5 linked regions of the Danio rerio genome follow. The protein of the gene in region 5 binds, or shares a complex with, the protein of the main gene of each other region. Links are inferred from orthologs where the notes say so. Each region holds a gene or a part of one and is shown on either strand. Other genes may lie near its edges.

Region 1 (3,520 bases), on a different chromosome or scaffold from region 5:
ACAGGGAAGATGACGAGGTCACTCTCTACATTGAAACCGATGTCATAGAAAAATGTAATTGATGTTCTTGGCTTGGTGAAAGATGAACAAACAATCCTACCCAAAACATGCTAAATTTGCCAGATCAGTAGTACTTTGCATCCCGGCTTTGCATTCCAATTTCTAAGTGTCTTACAGCCTACGTTTGTTATGAATAAATTAGGTTAAAACGCATATAAAAGACACATTCATGAAAAAAGCCAAAAGAGCTTTGTGCATGTGCACGTGAATAATGTAGGGCTATAAACAAGTTTGAGCTTTTAAAAAGCTGTCAATCAAAATGTACCTCTTAGGCTCGGGTCGAATTCAGTCAGGCTCAGGCTCTATCGGGCCTAACTTTTATGGCCCGATTACAGCTCTATCACTCCTGTCAGCCAAGAACTAGAAAACTTAGGCAACAATTGGCACAAGCTCACCAAAATTTGATAATAGAAGATTAGAAAATCGTTGCCTGCTCTGACAAATCTCTATTTCTGCTGCAACATGCAGGCCCCGTTTACACTAATGCGTTTTAGTTTGAAAACGCAAAAGTTTTGCTACGGTTACGCCATCCCTCCACACTACGCCAGAGTTCTCGAGCGCCGAAAACGGAGCTTTTTGAAAAAGCTGGAAAGGCCGTTTTCATTCTAAAACGCTGCTGCTCCGTCTCAGTGTGGATGGGTAAAGACGGAGACATCTGAAAACGGAGGCGGGGCTGCAAACGTTCGCCTATCTGATTGGGGCTTTTCCTCAATATTAAGTAGCCCACGCACAGTTCAGTCTCGCATCCTCTTCTTGTAAGTTAAGACTTCGCAAGTTTGATCAAGGCTGCAGTCTCCCCCTTTTCAGTTTGATATGGAAAACATACCGAGGACACGGGTAAATCTTCAAAGGGAACAGTGTACTTTATAACTTTATTCACATCACCTTGGCTACGTTGTTTCACTTTCTCAACAATAAAATGTAATCATTATTTAAGGAACTGCCTATTTTCTTTTTAATATTAGCAACTTAACTGACAGCAGAAATGTTGAGGCGCCGTGCTGCATATATGGGCGTCATCTTCACTGTGTGGATATTTATAACAAAACGGAGCCTATAACAACTGCCTCCTTTCAATTTCAGTGAAAATACGAAACGCACCCTCTCTTTTGCTGAATATCAGTTTTAATAATTGATAATTATAAAAGTATAACATACAATAAGTTTATACATTGTAGGAAATAAAGGCAAGCGATCAGTCAATGTACCTGGATTAATCATTAACTTATCTTTGCGCTTAACCAAAACATGTTACCCGTGAACAAGTAACTTAATAGATTCCAATGACCAAAGTCAGGGAATTGGCCTATGTCGTTAGATAAAGACAACAACATGAATGAAATATCACGTTTAGCAAATATAGTGGGATTAGATCCAGCGGGAGATGCTTGATGAGCAGTCCGACAAGCAGAGCTCTCATCTGGGTAGAAATGCTGGAGCGCTTGCCCGAGAGTGTCTGTGTGATCACGTGATGTGCGTTTTCAACGTTTTGGTGTGGACGGAGAGCTGTTCAGAAACGCTGGGTAAAACGCGAGTGTGGACGCGGATCGTTTTCATTCTACAACGCCGTTTTAAAACTAAAACGCACTAGTGTAAACGGGGCCTCAGATGGTAGGGTCAGAATTTGGCGTAAACAACACAAAAGCATGGATCCATCCTGTCTTGTATCAATGGATCAGGCTGGTGGTGGTAGTGTATCGATTTGAGGGATTTTTTTCTTTGCACACTTTGGGTCCATTAGTATCCAATTGAGTATTGTGTCTGCCACATCCTACCTGAGTACTGTTACTGACCATGTCCATCCATTTATGACCACAGTGTACCCATCTTCTGGTGGCTACTTCCATCAGGATAACGCGCCATGTCATAAAGCCAAAAAATATCTAAAACCGATTTCTTGAACATGACAATGAGTTCACTGCACTTAAATGGCCTCCACAGTCACCAGAACTTAATCCAATGAAGCACTTTTGGGATGTGGTGGAACGGGAGATTCGCATCATGGATATGCAGCAAACAAATCTGCAGCAACTGCACGATGCCATCATGTCATTATGGACTGAAATCTCAGAGGGATATTTCCATTACCTTGTTGAATCTATGCCGTGAAGGATTAAGGCTGTTCTACAGGCAAAAGGGGGGTCCAACCCGGTACTAGTAAGGTGTACCTAATAAAGTGGCCAGTTAGTGTAAGTACACGCATACGTTTTTATTGATTACATATAATGCAATCTTTTTTTTTTTTTTTTTTCAACTGATTTTTTTTTAAATCACAGTATTGGGCTTCAAAACAGAAAATGAAAAGTGTCACATTTTTATACATCTGTTATTTAAGACTTTTAAGTCTAAAAAGTCAAATAAAACATTGTTTTCAAAGTCAAATTGTCCTTTCATCAGTCTGTGAGATTTCCAGTATACAATATTATTGTATACTGGGTTTAGTTAACTTAATGCTAGTTGCTTTTTATTTTTTTATTTATGTACATTTTACCTGCGTATTTTACTTGCTTCTATGTGAATTAATGTCTGTCGTTTTGCAATTGTTATTAAACATACTCATTGCAATATTTCAGTTCTAAACTATGAAGATTTGCACCACTCCCATTAATTCACTGCAGAAACTGAAAGTTTAAATGGATGGTGCCTTCATGCCTCTGTTGCTGCATTGTCGATGCATATTCGACCGTGAGAGCTGAATGCACTTATGAGTCATTCACCCTGATATCATCTCAGACTATAAGCACACAGCTTTTCAGAGAATACACAGAATGTTACAGCATTGCAATCTTTTTCAGTGGGATAATCAGACCAAGTCATTTTAAAATTTTATTTTTATTTTGATTGCAGCTTTAAACGTTTATTTAATTAATTATTACACTTGAACTACCCTCAAGGAAGTCCTAGTGTCTTGTGAACAACACAAAGTCATGATGTAATTTTTTTTTTCTCTCTCTCGTCCAGCTGCTGATAAGCTGATCAAAATATGGGGTGCATATGATGGCAAGTTTGAGAAGACGATATCTGGACACAAACTTGTGAGTTCCTTGTATGTTTTGTTGGTATTTCTGTCATCATTGTTTCACTTCTATAGTGTTATCTTCATTTGCTTTTAGTTGTTAGCCTTATTTTATTTTCAGTTGAACTTTGTCTGTACAGCACTTTGGATTCAGTTATAGTGTTGAAAGTGTTCTATAAATAAAGTTGAGTTCCCCAAAAGATCTGGCTTCTCTGTAATGTTTTACTGTACCAGATTGCTGTTGTGAACTGGATTTCTTTCTCCTGCAGGGCATCTCAGATGTAGCCTGGTCTTCAGACTCCAACCTCCTGGTCTCAGCTTCTGATGACAAGACTTTGAAGATCTGGGATGTGAGCTCTGTAAGTTAAGGCAAAACTGAACATTCGAAAGAAAAATGTAAAACCTAAACTGATGAAAGCAAGCAGAGTGAGCATACTGATGCTA
Region 2 (3,964 bases), on a different chromosome or scaffold from region 5:
ACGCGTCGTTACAACGTGTAGTTACAATTTTTGAGAGGTGCACGTCAGTGACGGCGACGGCCACGGCGAAGGGCTATGCGTCAGCGACGTAGCCTACGCCGGTGTTTGACTCAGAAGTAAAAATCAACACTTCCCGCCCGTCACAGCGTCTAACAAAGGGGCGGGGTGCGTGGTGACGTCACCAGCATCCCCGCCCCTTTGTTTACACGGCAGGCGGGGAATGCCAGTGACCGCTGTGTACGGATAGAATCAGCGGTCGGCGCGGGCCACAAAATATTGCACTGAGGGCCGCAAATGGCACGCGGGCCGCGAGTTTGAGACCCCTGTTTAAGGTGAATTGTTTTCTCACCACAAACCTAGGGCTTGGCGATAAAACCATATTTATTGTAATAATTTTTCCCTCTGTAAAACAACACGTTATAAATGTTTAACATAATAGTGGAATACATTAGCATATCATAACTGCATTGTTCCTTTGCACAACATAGATTGTTTATCCATTAGCACAAACAGCTGCTCGAGTTTGTTTGTATGTTCACATGCTAAAGGGTCTTGCTCATTAGGTTGGATGTTTGTCATCTTTGACAATAAAATTTAGTTTTACAATTTACTATTCTGGTTTTTGGAACTTTCTCCCAGAGGCTATAATCTGCACTTTAACTAAAGAAATAGACATTTTATTTTGATAATTATTGATACTGACTCTGATGTAAACAATTTTAGCATATTAACATGGCCATACTGCCCAGTCCTACATAAACCACCGCATCATTTATTTTCAAGCGTCTCAAGACCACTTGCAGACCAATTGAACAAGGAATAATTTACAATAGACCATTGAATTTAGGCATAGAATGATAACCATTTTCAAGGTATACCGCGGTATGAAAAAGTCAAGGTTTTAAAACCATCAAATTTTTTTGCAATACTGTTGCTAAGGTGATGTGTAAGATTGTTTATTTACATTTTTCTTGCTTTTTTTTGGACAACAGTTTGTCCAGCATAAAAGATATCCAAAGATGCTGTTTTTAACTGTAAAAAAAAAATGTGTTTTTGAAATAAGTGAAGACAGCAGAAGTCAATGATTCATTTGAATTATTTAGTCTGAAGTTTACTGTTCCAGAATATTTTAAATGTTTCATAACATAAAATATATTGTGTTCAAAAGGGATTTTTTTGTTTTGTTTTACCCCGACATTTAAAAAGAATATATTATTTTAGAGCAGTAATCACAATACCATGAAACCGTGCAATTTTTATCAAAGGTTATCATATAGTCAGAATCTTACACCAGCCCATGCGTATTTAATTATTCAAAAATAATGCACAACCAAGGTGGTGATGCGGCCACAATGCAAAGCAGATGTGCATTATTTTCTAATTTAATGAATAAACCAGAGTAAATTATTCCACTTGTACTATGGTTTCCAGACTGAAAGACGTAATTTAAGACATTTGAGAGGTTTTTTCCATTAAACAGCTCTTGTGTGTTAAACTACTAAAGTCTTGTGCATACCAACTCATTATTTGATTTGTGACACTTGCAGCTTGTGAAACCATTCAGCATAATGATATTGAACTATAATGCTGTCTGGAACTGCTTTAGCCGTTTAAATAATTGAAAACTGAAAATAATTGCACACCTTAGAATGTTCATCAGACAATCAGAATCAAAAGTAGTATATAGAGGTAAAGTTGGTTTTATATTTGGATATATTTAGACATTCTCCTTAATAATAACATTTCAGAAAAGTATTCTTTGCTAATTCTAAATAGGGAAATCATATTAGCAGCAAATGACTATTAAAGTACAACACTGTTCACACAGATAGTGTAAATGTTGTTTAGAAGTCATATTTCCATGCTAATTCCGATTGAATATTCAAGGCAGGATGGTAAACAATATAGGGACTGCTAAATGAACGAATGTGCGAATATAAAACTAACTTTACCTCTACAAGTAACGTTACTATAACTCTGAATAAACGATTCGCCTTATTACAAAAGCTTTGAATGAATTAAGTGCAGAAACGAACAATTTGTTGTTGGAATCTCACAGCATTGAACAGAAGTGACATACTGACCGTTTATAACATGTTCCGGGGATATAGTTTTCTTTTCTGATTTATTGCAGATCTCGTTGGCCTCTGATGAGACGAGGTGAATGAACTCTGTGCAGCAGTTTACCACCAGCTCTCTGGCATCGTTCGCTACCCGCACATTGGGAAGCGTTTCTTTGATCATTTTATTGATCGCCGCCCTCGGGATGGTCAGATCATCGTCGTTCCCCGAAGAAGATGCCATGAGGGATGAGCAGCCGAGACGCTTCTGTGTTTGAAGGAGTCAAACCAGGAGAGGAGGCTCAACGGCTTTGTTGATGATAAAACACCGACAGCAGCGGCGGCTTTGTGTGGAGACTCAGATGGTGCGGTCGGTTTTCTCGGAGCAGATCACGAAAGGCTGGGAATACACACACGTGAACACATTTGAAAATCCGAAGACGTCGGAAAGACTGTGAGTGTTTGGCACAAGGAAGGGAGGAGGATGAGAGTCGGTACCTTTCGGTTTGATCAGTTTACGCTGACTCTCCACATCCACACATCAGTGCTGCTGCTTTTGCTGTGCACGTTTATAATCATGATTCAACTCCAAACATTCATTCTCGAGCCGCCTGGGTAACTGAACAGATCCCGCGCTTATTAGACTAAAGCACGGGGAGGAATGTTTTAAGCACCCGAATCTATTAATTCATTACTTCACCCGCTCGGTTAGCGATCAACGAAACGAACCCCACAATGCAACACTCCCGGATATCCGGTAATTCTTCTGCTTGTTATTGTTTCGTGGTGTTGCTCGGCATTGCCGCCTACTGTACAAAAATGATGTTACAATTTATGCGCATGTTTTCTGCTAAAAAAACAAACTGGCAAAAACTTTTTTTATTGTTTCAAGCTGAACATACAAATAAAATGGAACATATTTACAATATTCCATACTGTCATCTCAAGGTTGAGTAATAAAATAGGCAAACACAATATACATCGAAAGAATAAAACGACCAGTTTTTGTTAAATGAATTGCAATAAAATAATAAAGGAGCTTAGAAAATTAAATTAGCTTATAAAAATCCCAAAAATAGATGAGGTTATGGGCTTTTTTATCATTCAACAATTTTACAGATTCGCACAAAAGTTTTACCTCATTCACTGATTAAAGGAGTAGATTTGAACCATCTGCATTTGTGAATAAAGATTTTTCCCAAGCATAATAGAACAATGACAGCAAAATGAAAATTCTTTGTTTTCAAAGATACCAAACTTAACTGTTTTTGAGGGGAGGGAAATATACAGTCCTGGGGCCTCATGTATCAACGCTGCGTATGCACAAAAACTTTGCATACGCCAGGTTTCACGCTCAGAATCGCTCACGTTTGGATTTACTAACGATGAACTGAACGTGGGAATGTGCGCGGCTCCACGCCAGCTTTATGGCTGGCGTACGCACATTTTTTGTGCGTGTCTGTTTTATTTCCATTGGCGACTCGACAGTTGTGTTAAATTGCACTCTACAAAGTGTCTTTGAGCCTTGCAATGGCAGCTGTAGGAGACGGGTTCATCTAGCAGGTATATAAGATTTCCATAACATACAGTTGACCAGCCAAACATTAAAGAGCAATTTGCAGCGGTCGCCTGTTTTCCCATTGTAGTGGGGGCGATCTACTTCACGCACATTGCTATAAAGGCACCAACTGAAGATGAATTTGCACGCATGAATCAGAAACATTTCCATTCAATAAATGTGCAAATAAAATATGATGCACATACTTATTAATGATTCCTACTTGTCTTTCTCGTGATAAATAGTAGGCAAAATCTGATATGCTGGAAAAAAAAGAAGAATGAGTTCATCAGACGCTGGATTCGAACCGAGTTCATGCTCGAACGTGTCAAAACATGCTACCTTG
Region 3 (3,520 bases), on a different chromosome or scaffold from region 5:
ATCATATGAGTGTTACATATTTTTGTTCAGATATATAATTTGTTAATTGAGAAAGGGGCCCTTAGAAATAACGCTCTAATTTGAAATCTAATTTAATAGGGAAGGGTGGCCCTCTAGAGGTTGATGTTATGCAGTACAAGTATTTTTTTCTACTTACTTTTTTCTCCTCTGTCTTTCCTTTAGTCTGGAGTGATAAATATCCACTACAGCAACCTTCAGTGCTGCAATAACACAATAATACCACAAACATGGTAAAAAGTAGTTACCAAGAATTTAGCATTCAGTTTGTTTTCACAAATATAATCTAATATATATATATATATATATATATATATATATATATATATATATATATATATATATATATATATATATATATATATATATATATATATATATATATATTTTAAAATAATGTATAATAGTATATATGAAAAACATTATAAATAATAAAATGTTAATTTTAAATTAAATTAAATATGATGATTTGCTAAGTATTTGTATCTAGCTAAAGTATGAAAATTTAACTTATAATAATACTATAGCTGAAATACAATTTAATTAAACTTAAGTGGTTCAACTTAAAAATAATAAACCATAATAAAAAATAATAAAATAATCTAAAATTCAATTAAAATCAAACATTACAATAAAAATTTGTATAATAGCATCAAAATGGATATAGAAAACTAAATTCAGGATGTTTTATAATAGAAATAAAAGTAAAAAAAGACCATAATGATGTTTGATCTCATTAAGCCAGCAATAACAACTATGATTTTTCAATGGCAAACAGGTTATGATAATGCTACATTGTAAAAATAACATTTGATTTCAGTAAAATGAGAGAACAAATGTACTCATTTTCTCTACTGTTGCACTTACCATGAAGGATATCAGAATCATCATCGACAAAGTCAATATCTTTTAAATCCCATTCAGCGTAATTATCAAACTCCTAATTTCAGAGACAAAAAGAGAAAGAGAGGTTGCTTTAAAAAATGTATGAATTACATAAGTTCTAAACAGACAGTCATTAGACGGCATATTGAATTTATGGAAACAAGCCTGTATCAGGCTGTATAAATATCAAAACATTCATACAAAGGTTTAAGGGTGTTTTTGCTATTGTTTCTTTTTTTTTAAAGAAGACATTTCATGTATTGATTTTAAACAACCGTTAAACAACAATATCACATGGCTCTGGAATACTTTATTCTAAATAGTCAAGATTCTGATTAATTAGTATTAAAAGCTGAACTAAAATCAATAAAATTCTGGCAAAGCACCAGGGTGCTGAATGTGCTTGCTGATCGTATGGAGCAAGGCTAAAATAGCATCTGCAGGGTCATCTTTGCATTGACTTAACACATAGATCACTCGCACTTGACGATTCATCCGTGTCGGTGTGAACGTACCTAAGACTTTTTAACACCACTATAGATACAATTTTCGACTAAAACAAGGCTAAATGCTAAGGACTATTTCCAATGGCCCATTTGGGCAAGCACAAAAAGAGTTTTATATAATAAATTCAAATAAGTTATGTTAGCCACATATTTTAAATGTGTCAAAACAAAGCAAAACCTAGTTGTGTACTTACACACTTATTTTGTTGTTGTTGTTGTTAAAGAAGATTGACAAGCTGTATAAACTTTAAAAAAAACTAAAAGTATAACAGTCGGTCCAGGTCAGTGTCCCCAACATATATGGTCTATAAATACATAGAGAACTTTTTAACCAATGTAATTGTAGGGAAGACAACTAATCCATATTGGTAAACAGAGTTATAAATAGAGTAAAGTTTTATTGAGATGGACTGTGTCGGTGTCGGCCTGTGGTGCTTTTCTCAAACAACGACGTAACTCCGGGATTAACTATCATAGTACGATGCATCGTTTGGAAAAAAGAAAGATGTAGTGATGAGTGTTTCCCCAAAACCGTAGTTTCTCTGTCGATCCATAATTTGAACCATGTTAGATATCATGTAAACCGCCTATAATGGTACTCTAAATCAGGTGGTAACAGCTTATTTAGAGAGGAACCCCATAATTTCTTTGTGCAAATTATATTGTTTCACAGGGACACACATTTAAAAAAAATCCAATTTTAGTTTTAGTAAAAACATGCAATTGCTTTCCAGATTAATTGTAATATACTGTATGTAAACGGCATATATAGGGCCTGTTTTCTTTACAAATATTATTGAGAACATTACATATTCTATTCTAAAACATAAAATCACTTACAAAAGCAACCACGTATTCTAGTATCATATATTAATCATACAACTAAATAAATAGACAGTCTATTTATTAAGAAATAAAATGTTATATTTATTATTTATTAGGAAATGAAAAAAATCTTACTTTAATAATAATATCAATAATATCACTGATTATTATTATTAAGTAGAATATTGTTTATTTATTTATTTTTTTGAAAAGTCTACTTTTACAATTTGACACATGCAAACCACTGCACAAATGTTCTAACTAACAGGCCCACGTCATATACAGTACAGATACTTAATAAATACATACTAGATATTAAAACCATTAGCTTTTAAATAATAGGTCACCTGTAGCTTTCATCATGAGCCACGGCTGTGTTCAAAATGACATGAATGCTTTTAAAGTGCACTAAAGCGGCAACGCAAGACTGCTAAAACTGATCTGTAAAAATACTTTGACAGCAAATTACACTTAAGAGTGATGACTTAATTTTTTAAAAATCATTTCAAGTTTAAATGTTAGAATGTATAGGGCATATAACTGGGCATATAACTACAATAACTGGGAATAGAACACAGCCAGGAACTATGTTTCTAACTACAGCTCCAAAGGTGTAGTTGCAAACATTGAAGTTTGCGATGCAGTTTGTGAATGTTCTTTGGAAAGACGGATTTGAAAAATGCTAAATAAATGAACTATGGTTGTAACGACGGAACTTGCGACCTTAGTTGGCTTTCGAAAACGTACCCCTGATTTGGACATATGAAAATTAAGACCTGTAAAAAAAAACTATTTAAGACCTACAAGACAACATTTTAGCAAATTTAATCATTTTTAAAGCCTAAAATTTAGTTGTTGAAATGCAAGACATTTTAAGACTTAAGAACCTGCAGACACCCTGGTTATTGTTTGCTCCATTCAGCCATTTTCATTTCTTGTTTTGCATTTAATTAAACACTTAATAAACTTTTACGGCTGAATACAACATACAAGCTTTGAGTCACATTTTTACGTTTAGTGACAAGTACCTGTGTAATAAGTGGCATAAAGTACATCCAGTCGGTTGTTTTTTTTTCTCCACAGAACAACACTCCACAGATTTGCTTCGCTGATGCGATAAGAACCACTTGGATGTACTTTATCTTACTTACACTCCACTGAAGGCATGCATTTCTATTCCCTACAAATTTGTTTTCATCCATGTCAATATTGAAATAAGGTGTAACCCTGACTAAAGTCTAGTAGCTGCAGATCTCTTACCTCCATGAAGTCTGCTCGAGCTGGCA
Region 4 (3,520 bases), on a different chromosome or scaffold from region 5:
GGCATCTCTGGCTGATATATTCAATTGAGTCAAGTGTTGCCGAAACGCGTAGGTGCTGTTTTTAAGGAATAGCCATGTTAATAAGGGCTTTTTCATTTTTTCGCTTGCTTTTCAGTGCCTTGGACTTATTATTTTGTTGTTTATCTTTAATAATTCCTTATCCAAAGAGCACAGACACATTAACTACCCCTGAAGCACTTCTTTTGATTTTGGATTTATAAATACATCTGTGACATTATAAATGACTTTACTGCCACTTTTGATTTATTTACTGAATTCTTTGTTAAATAAAAGTATTTATTTATTTTACAAACACCCTTTTAAAGTGATAGAGAGTACATGGCACCACTGTGAAATCATCAGTACGCCGCAGATACTCCATGATCTAATAGAGGCACACAGATGGTCTAAGATTTCAGAATAAATAAGCATAAATTCTCATCTGACCTTTTCTCCTTGGCACTAGGTTTCCAACCAGTCTCTCCTAAAAAATAAATAAATATAAAAACAGAAAGAAGAAAGCACGTTTGAATGAAAGGATTTTGGACATTATAGTCATATTTTTTAGACACTTACTGATGCCTGGTATACTCTCCACAGGAATCTGACGCACACCCTCTTTAAAGCAGGTGAGACCAGGATACACTTTCCTGATCTGATTCTGTTTCCTCTCGATCAGTTTCTTAATGATCTGCAGCAGACAACAATAAACCAATAGCACTAATTTAATTTAATAAAAACTTTCTTTTATGCTCTTCATGGCCATTTAGAAAAATTCACAGCTAAAATCCCACTTGAGAATAACATATACCCCAATATTCAATATGACAGTTTTGTATGCCACAATACTTGATATAATATTGAGTCATTCGTTTCAACCACCACAGTTCAGTATGCGTTAGAGACTGCGGTATTGCATCCAAATTTAAATATTTAATTTAGCATTTTCCCCAATTCCTTTAATTACTCTGAACTGGCTCTGTCTAACCTCCCTCTCTATTCTATTCTGCCGTCCTAAAGGGGAGGGGGCTCGGGTGTCGCAGATGAAAGTAAAAAAAAGGGGGGGGGGGGAGATTGGGGGGGGGGGGTCTTCGTGGATAATAATTAGGGAAATGAGGATATTTTGCCGCCCTAGTTTCACGTTATTTCGGATGTAAAATTTGTGTGAATTTTTGGCGTACGCAATGTTTTAGTATGAATTCAACACAAGTCTTCGTACATGAGGCCCCTGGTCTTTATAGCAAATAAACAAATGTAAATATTATCTTGCTTGCTTTTTAATCATTATTGAGCGAGTTCTTGAACGCCTATGATTGATCGTGCATTCAACAGAAAAGGCTGCAATTGGCTCTAACAGTTCAGCAAACAGTGACACGGACACTGATGTTAAATGACCGCAGTGATCAGCCGATTCATTATAGATGGCAACGCGGTGGAGAAAACTCACTATGCAGACACGCTTGTGTCTGGATCCACAAGTAATGTTATTGTTGTAACAGCTGAGAGAGGAGATAAAACGTTACCTCACGACCACATCAGCAGGTCACCTCCCACGCCAAAGTAAGCTACCGCCATATAACACATGAAATAAATGACATCAGTACATTACTGAACCGATACCGAATTGTTCGTGTCTGCACTGCGGTGCACCAAAGAAACGATTAATTTTGACACTCCTAATATACATACAGTTGAAGTGAGAATTATTAACCGCCCTGAATTATTAGCTCCCCCCGGTTTATTTTTTCCCCAATTTCTGTTTAACGCAGAGAAGATCTTTTTTAACACATTTCTAAACATAATAGTTTTAATAACTCATTTCTAATAACTGATTTATTTTGTCTTTGCCATGATGACAGAAAATAAAATTTGACTAGATATTTTTAAAAGACACTTCTATACAACTTAAGGTGACATTTAAAGGCTTAACTAGGTTAATTAGGTTAGGCAGGTTAGGGTAATTAGGCAAGTTATTGTATAGTGATGGTTTGTTCTGCAGACTATCAGAAAAAAACTAGCTTAAAGTGGTTTAAAATTTTGACCCTAAAATGGTTTATAAAAAAATAAACACTGCTTTTATTCTAGCCAAAATAAAACAAATAAGAATTTCTTCAGAAAATATTATCAGACAACTATGAAAATTTCCTAGCTCTGATAACAATCATTTGGAAAATATTTAAAAAAGAAAAGAAAAAAAATCAAAAAGGGGGGGGGGGCTAATAATTCTGACTGATAGCATAATTGATAGCATAATTGTAGTTTGTGTTACTGAGTTATTAAATCATTTTTTAAAATTATTTTACAGTTAGTTTATGATCTAATATGCAAATATTCATAGGACTTTATAATACAGTTTATAAAGTGATAAAGTGATTTAGTTCTGAATGTTGATAAAACTAAGGAGTTGGTGATCGACTTCAGGAAGAAACGCCCCATTTATTCCCCTGTATATATTAATAACACTGCAGTGGAGACTGTACAGCAGATAAAATTTCTGGGGGTCCATGTTACTGAGAACCTGACTTGGTCTCTCCATACCACTTGTCTTGCGAAGAAAGCGCACCAGCGACTGCTTTTTCTGAGAAGGTTGAAAAGAGCACACCTCAGCCAATCAATTCTCACAACTTTTTACAGAGGAGCTGTTGAGAGTGTTCTTACTAATGGCATCTCCCTTTGGTATGAGAATAGCAGTGTGTCTGATAAGAACACCATTAAGAGGATCATAAAGTCAGCTGAAAGGTCTGTTGGAGTCAAAATGACATCTATCGAGGAACTTTACCAACGCCGTTGTCTGTCTAGGGCAAATAACATTTTAGGGGATCCAACCCACCCTGGTCATAGCCTGCTCTCACTCATGCCATCAGGCAGGCGTTACAGAAGTCTGAGGAGCAAATCAGTGCGGTTTCAAGATAGTTTTTATCCTGTCATTATAAGACTTTTAAATAATACCATTTCTTAAGTATTGTTAATAGCTAGTGTTAAAAATAAATAAATTTGTTAAACTAGCATAAATTGTTAATATTACAACAAATGGTGAAATAGGTATTTAAGTATTAAGTTATTCTCTTCAGAGATTTTTTAAAAATGGGTTATATCTTATCTATATTTTTTATATTTCTATGGAATTATAAAAGCTTATTTATCATGTTAGGATTTTATAGTGTTTTTATATTGATGTTTTTTTATGTTCTTGATGGGTCTGTTGCAACGTAATTTCGTTCTGCATTACAATTCTATTGTGATGATTTGAATGACATAAATAAAGGAAACTGAAACTGGATATTTCCTGACATTTAATAGATATATTACATGAGGGATTGCATATTTTACCAAACAAATGGATTTAATTGGATTACAATTATAAACCTTGAATTAAAGTTTAAAAGTCATTAATTTATTTATCATGTTTTTAGTTACTTTACTCCCAAAATCATAAATCCACAGAAACAACAAAAAATGTCTGCAGATTCTGTCTGGCCCAGGCTATTAGTAACACATTTAATTACTGTATTACAACAAC
Region 5 (3,520 bases):
TGTTGTGACGCGGTGCGCACGCTCGCGATTTCGGGGGGTGTGGCTTTGAATCCCAGTCCCTCCCTGCTGTCCAAAGATAATATGCTAAGTGGTTAGCATTTTGGCAGATCACCTACTGCACCTTTAAACAGAACCTGAAGCAGCACTTGATAATTACAGACGGGTGTGTTTGGTCAGAGTTGCAACTGAAATTTGTAGGAAAGTATTGCCCTTTCTCAATATGCATTCTTCAGCGATCTTGCGCCCTCGTGTTCTCGGGTAACAGCATCATCAACAGCCAAAGTTCAGTTCCAAAACTCAAGACTGCAAGAGCAGAGGACATGTGAAAGTTCCTGGATGTGTTCTTGATAGAGGACACCTCGATGCAGACTTGAGCACAAAACTCGCTTGAGAAGTCCCAGAAGGCATTTCGACTGAATAAAGAAGGTGGGGAGTGCAGCATCTGATATAGATTTAATATTAAAGTTCGGAGATGTGACTAATTTATCTCAGGAGTTACCCTAAATGAGACGGTGAAAGTAAACATTTCCATGAAAATCTTTATAAAGGCATGAACAGATTAAGGGTGTTTATTTGCTGAAATTCATATTAAAATTTGTTTTATTTGTATTGTGCAACATACATTTATAATGTCTTTATGCATAGTACATATAGTGAAAGAAGGAAAAACAATAAAGCGTTGTATGAATGCTGAGATTTTTAAATAATGTTCTATTAAAAACGCGTGAAGATCATGTGACCATCAGGAAGAAAGCAGCATCTCATTTCTCACAGGACGCATTCTCTGTTCTCTAAGTTCATTTTTACGAGGTAACTCCACAAGAACTCCACAAGTACGCTAGTACGTTATCTCTGCGTTCTTGGAATTGAGAAACAGCCTAGCTCTCCAGGACCAGTGTTGGTAGGCCCTGGTCTAGAAAGGTTGTTGAAATTCCAGAGGTAGTAAAACATTTTATCGAGTTGCTTTCATAATAAAAATGCTCATGTGGTTAAAAAAAATTCAATGATTCAGTGATGTAATTTAGCTGACCCCATAATATGTTAATATCACATATAAACAAAGCTTCAGTGTTGTTAGGTGCAATTTGAATTAATGAAGTTCAAACTATTACTACAAATTATCCAAAGATGGTCATGTTGAAAAAAGCCTGAACAGTGAGATGAAATCAAAGCAGATGGATGAATCGGGTGGAATGTAAACACACACCTGACTTCCACGAGGTCATTGGGCTTGTAGCTGGGGTGCAGGAAAAACCAGACCTTCTTCACAAAGTGATCAATACTGGGCTCCTTACGAGAACCTCGAACGTACACCATCCACTTATGAGTGGACTGATCATTCTCCTCACGTTTATCAGGGGCAATATACCTGGAACAGAGAAAAAAAAAGTCTCAAAAACGGGTCTCTTGCTGCGTCCTAATTCGCATACTTATACTACACCCGAAAGTATGTACTTTTTTGAGAGGGAAAAATATATACTTTTGAGTGTGTGACAGAAGAGTGTGCTTTGGGACATACTACTTTTTCGTTAACAGATCGTTATGTTGCTTAATTATGAGCCCTGTCAAACATCCATGTCATCCTATCTCTTATTGGAGAAGCAGCGGCAGGTTAGGTCTTTCATGCAGAGAAATCTCCTCCGGTCTTTGGATAATTATGCATTCAGATGGTAATCTCCAAACATATCTTTATATAAGCGCAGTATTGTTGTTGCAGATGAAATATAACACAGAAAACACCATTTAAATATTTTCCAGTGGGCTAGATATTAATTAACAGTCATTCAAACAACTTTAACAAAGCTTTTTACTTGACGGTTGGTCTCGCAAGTCCACCATGTATGTAGTTTATTTACACTTTTCATCCATGTTAGTAGTTCTCATCGAAATCATGTCCAATGCACCAATACTGTGGACAATATCAGCAATTAGAGTATGGACGGTTCTGCACTTAAAATTTTTACCGGAAATAGTAAACCATCCGGGAACCTTTGGCATACTTTTTTCAACATACTACGATTTGGGACATACTAATTGTATTTTCAAATACTATTTAGGAAGGATAGTATGCGAATTGGGACGCAGCATCTGTTTTTTAGAAACAGAAAGAAAACAAATTGCATGAACTACCCATTAACTGTCATAAAAGCCAACTCTTCAGTAACATATTTAAATACTGAAACTGCAAAATTCAAAAGGCAACTGCATGGTAGCATTTTTGCCTTCAGCACAGATAAAAGTTAAGCTTATTTGCACATTTCTTTTCAACTCAGTGCGTGTCGTATATTTTCAGCTACCTGCCACAGTAATGTGATTTGTGCTCTTCATTTTAGGTTTCTAGGGAAAGGAAATCATCTGCTTCACACATAATGGTACAATGTGGAATTGTTTAGAAACGCTTTATTCAGACAAACAGCTTGAGTTCATGTTTTTTTTCAGCACAATGGCCCAGGAGTAAACAGTGTCATAAAGATCTTTAGTAGCTCTGCATGGAAAAAAGTCAGCTTATAGCATTGCTCATACAAAGACACACACACACACTTGTGTCTCACTCACATGCCTTGAGTGAATTTTATGAGGTAAAGTAGACGTGGACTGTGTGATAATGCAGAATAAATGAGGTTAGATTGCTGCCTAGGGGAAACTAAAGCTTTGCTTTTCACCATGTGAAGGTTTATTGGGTTTCAGAGAAATAATAATGAGACTTTCCAGAGAAAGTGATACATTTAAAAATGAATACAAGCTCGGAGAAATAAATATTTCTCCTCATAAAAGCCTGTGGAAATAACAAATGGTTGGAAATATAATGGTTTAAGATTAATTCAAAAATGAATATTCTGTTATTATTTACTAACCAATAAGTCACCTTAACACTTCTTTCTTAATGTTCTCAATCACACTTTTCCACTTCAGGTGTGCTAGGCCCAAAGTAAGAAATTCTTTTTGAATTTAAGTCGTCTGATGCCATACATTTTTATAGACTACAATTAAAGAGCATGGCATATGTGATCAAGTCAATCCAGACCTCTCTTTTTCATATTCCAAAGTCATAGTGTCTAGGGTACCATGAAAATATCTTAATGATCTAATGTTCATTTTTGGCTAAACCATCCCTTTAAGGATTGCAGAACCAAGTATAAAGCTTCCTCAAGTAAAGCTTTACTCAAGGCCACACCAGTATTATTCAGAAAGGAAGACCAAAAACATTAAAAACCTTTTAACTGCAACTCTTTTCCACCACAAACAATTGATGAAATTGTTGTCAGTTTTATAGTAATAGTAAAAATAGAATTAGCAATAAAATACTCTATACTATATAATAGGTAAAGATCTCATACTTGGATACGTTTCCGACAACAATGGTTTTCTTCATGTAGAGTCGAGAAGCATCATCTCCTGTAGTGTGATAAGTAACATGCTGCTCTATAGATGATGGCACACCAAATGTGTCCTATAAATGAGAAAATAATAATAAATGTCACTATCAAATCAAGTATGCATTGAGCATTTCAGCTGTAAA

The links.
Region 1: yeats2 (region 5) and wdr5 share a complex: the UniProt entries of both Homo sapiens proteins name them as parts of the ADA2A-containing complex. The link is inferred for Danio rerio from reciprocal best matches to the Homo sapiens genes YEATS2 and WDR5.
Region 2: yeats2 (region 5) and dr1 share a complex: the UniProt entries of both Homo sapiens proteins name them as parts of the ADA2A-containing complex. The link is inferred for Danio rerio from reciprocal best matches to the Homo sapiens genes YEATS2 and DR1.
Region 3: yeats2 (region 5) and tada2a share a complex: the UniProt entries of both Homo sapiens proteins name them as parts of the ADA2A-containing complex. The link is inferred for Danio rerio from reciprocal best matches to the Homo sapiens genes YEATS2 and TADA2A.
Region 4: yeats2 (region 5) and kat2a share a complex: the UniProt entries of both Homo sapiens proteins name them as parts of the ADA2A-containing complex. The link is inferred for Danio rerio from reciprocal best matches to the Homo sapiens genes YEATS2 and KAT2A.

Annotation. Positions count from the first base shown.
Region 1 is NC_133196.1:19,684,637-19,688,156, forward strand, and holds part of wdr5 (WD repeat-containing protein 5), read left to right. Parts: intron 1-3,021; coding exon 3,022-3,095; intron 3,096-3,345; coding exon 3,346-3,435; intron 3,436-3,520.
Region 2 is NC_133181.1:26,454,407-26,458,370, forward strand, and holds the start of dr1 (protein Dr1), read right to left. Parts: upstream 2,810-3,964; 5' UTR 2,305-2,809; coding exon 2,085-2,304; intron 1-2,084. UniProt on the Homo sapiens protein: The association of the DR1/DRAP1 heterodimer with TBP results in a functional repression of both activated and basal transcription of class II genes.
Region 3 is NC_133190.1:18,226,692-18,230,211, reverse strand, and holds part of tada2a (transcriptional adapter 2-alpha), read right to left. Parts: coding exon 3,495-3,520; intron 959-3,494; coding exon 886-958; intron 222-885; coding exon 158-221; intron 1-157. UniProt on the Homo sapiens protein: Component of the ATAC complex, a complex with histone acetyltransferase activity on histones H3 and H4. Required for the function of some acidic activation domains, which activate transcription from a distant site. Binds double-stranded DNA.
Region 4 is NC_133178.1:16,348,530-16,352,049, reverse strand, and holds part of kat2a (histone acetyltransferase KAT2A), read right to left. Parts: intron 692-3,520; coding exon 577-691; intron 485-576; coding exon 448-484; intron 1-447. UniProt on the Homo sapiens protein: Protein lysine acyltransferase that can act as a acetyltransferase, glutaryltransferase, succinyltransferase or malonyltransferase, depending on the context.
Region 5 is NC_133177.1:47,776,068-47,779,587, reverse strand, and holds part of yeats2 (YEATS domain-containing protein 2), read right to left. Parts: intron 3,452-3,520; coding exon 3,339-3,451; intron 1,370-3,338; coding exon 1,208-1,369; intron 1-1,207. UniProt on the Homo sapiens protein: Chromatin reader component of the ATAC complex, a complex with histone acetyltransferase activity on histones H3 and H4. YEATS2 specifically recognizes and binds histone H3 crotonylated at 'Lys-27' (H3K27cr).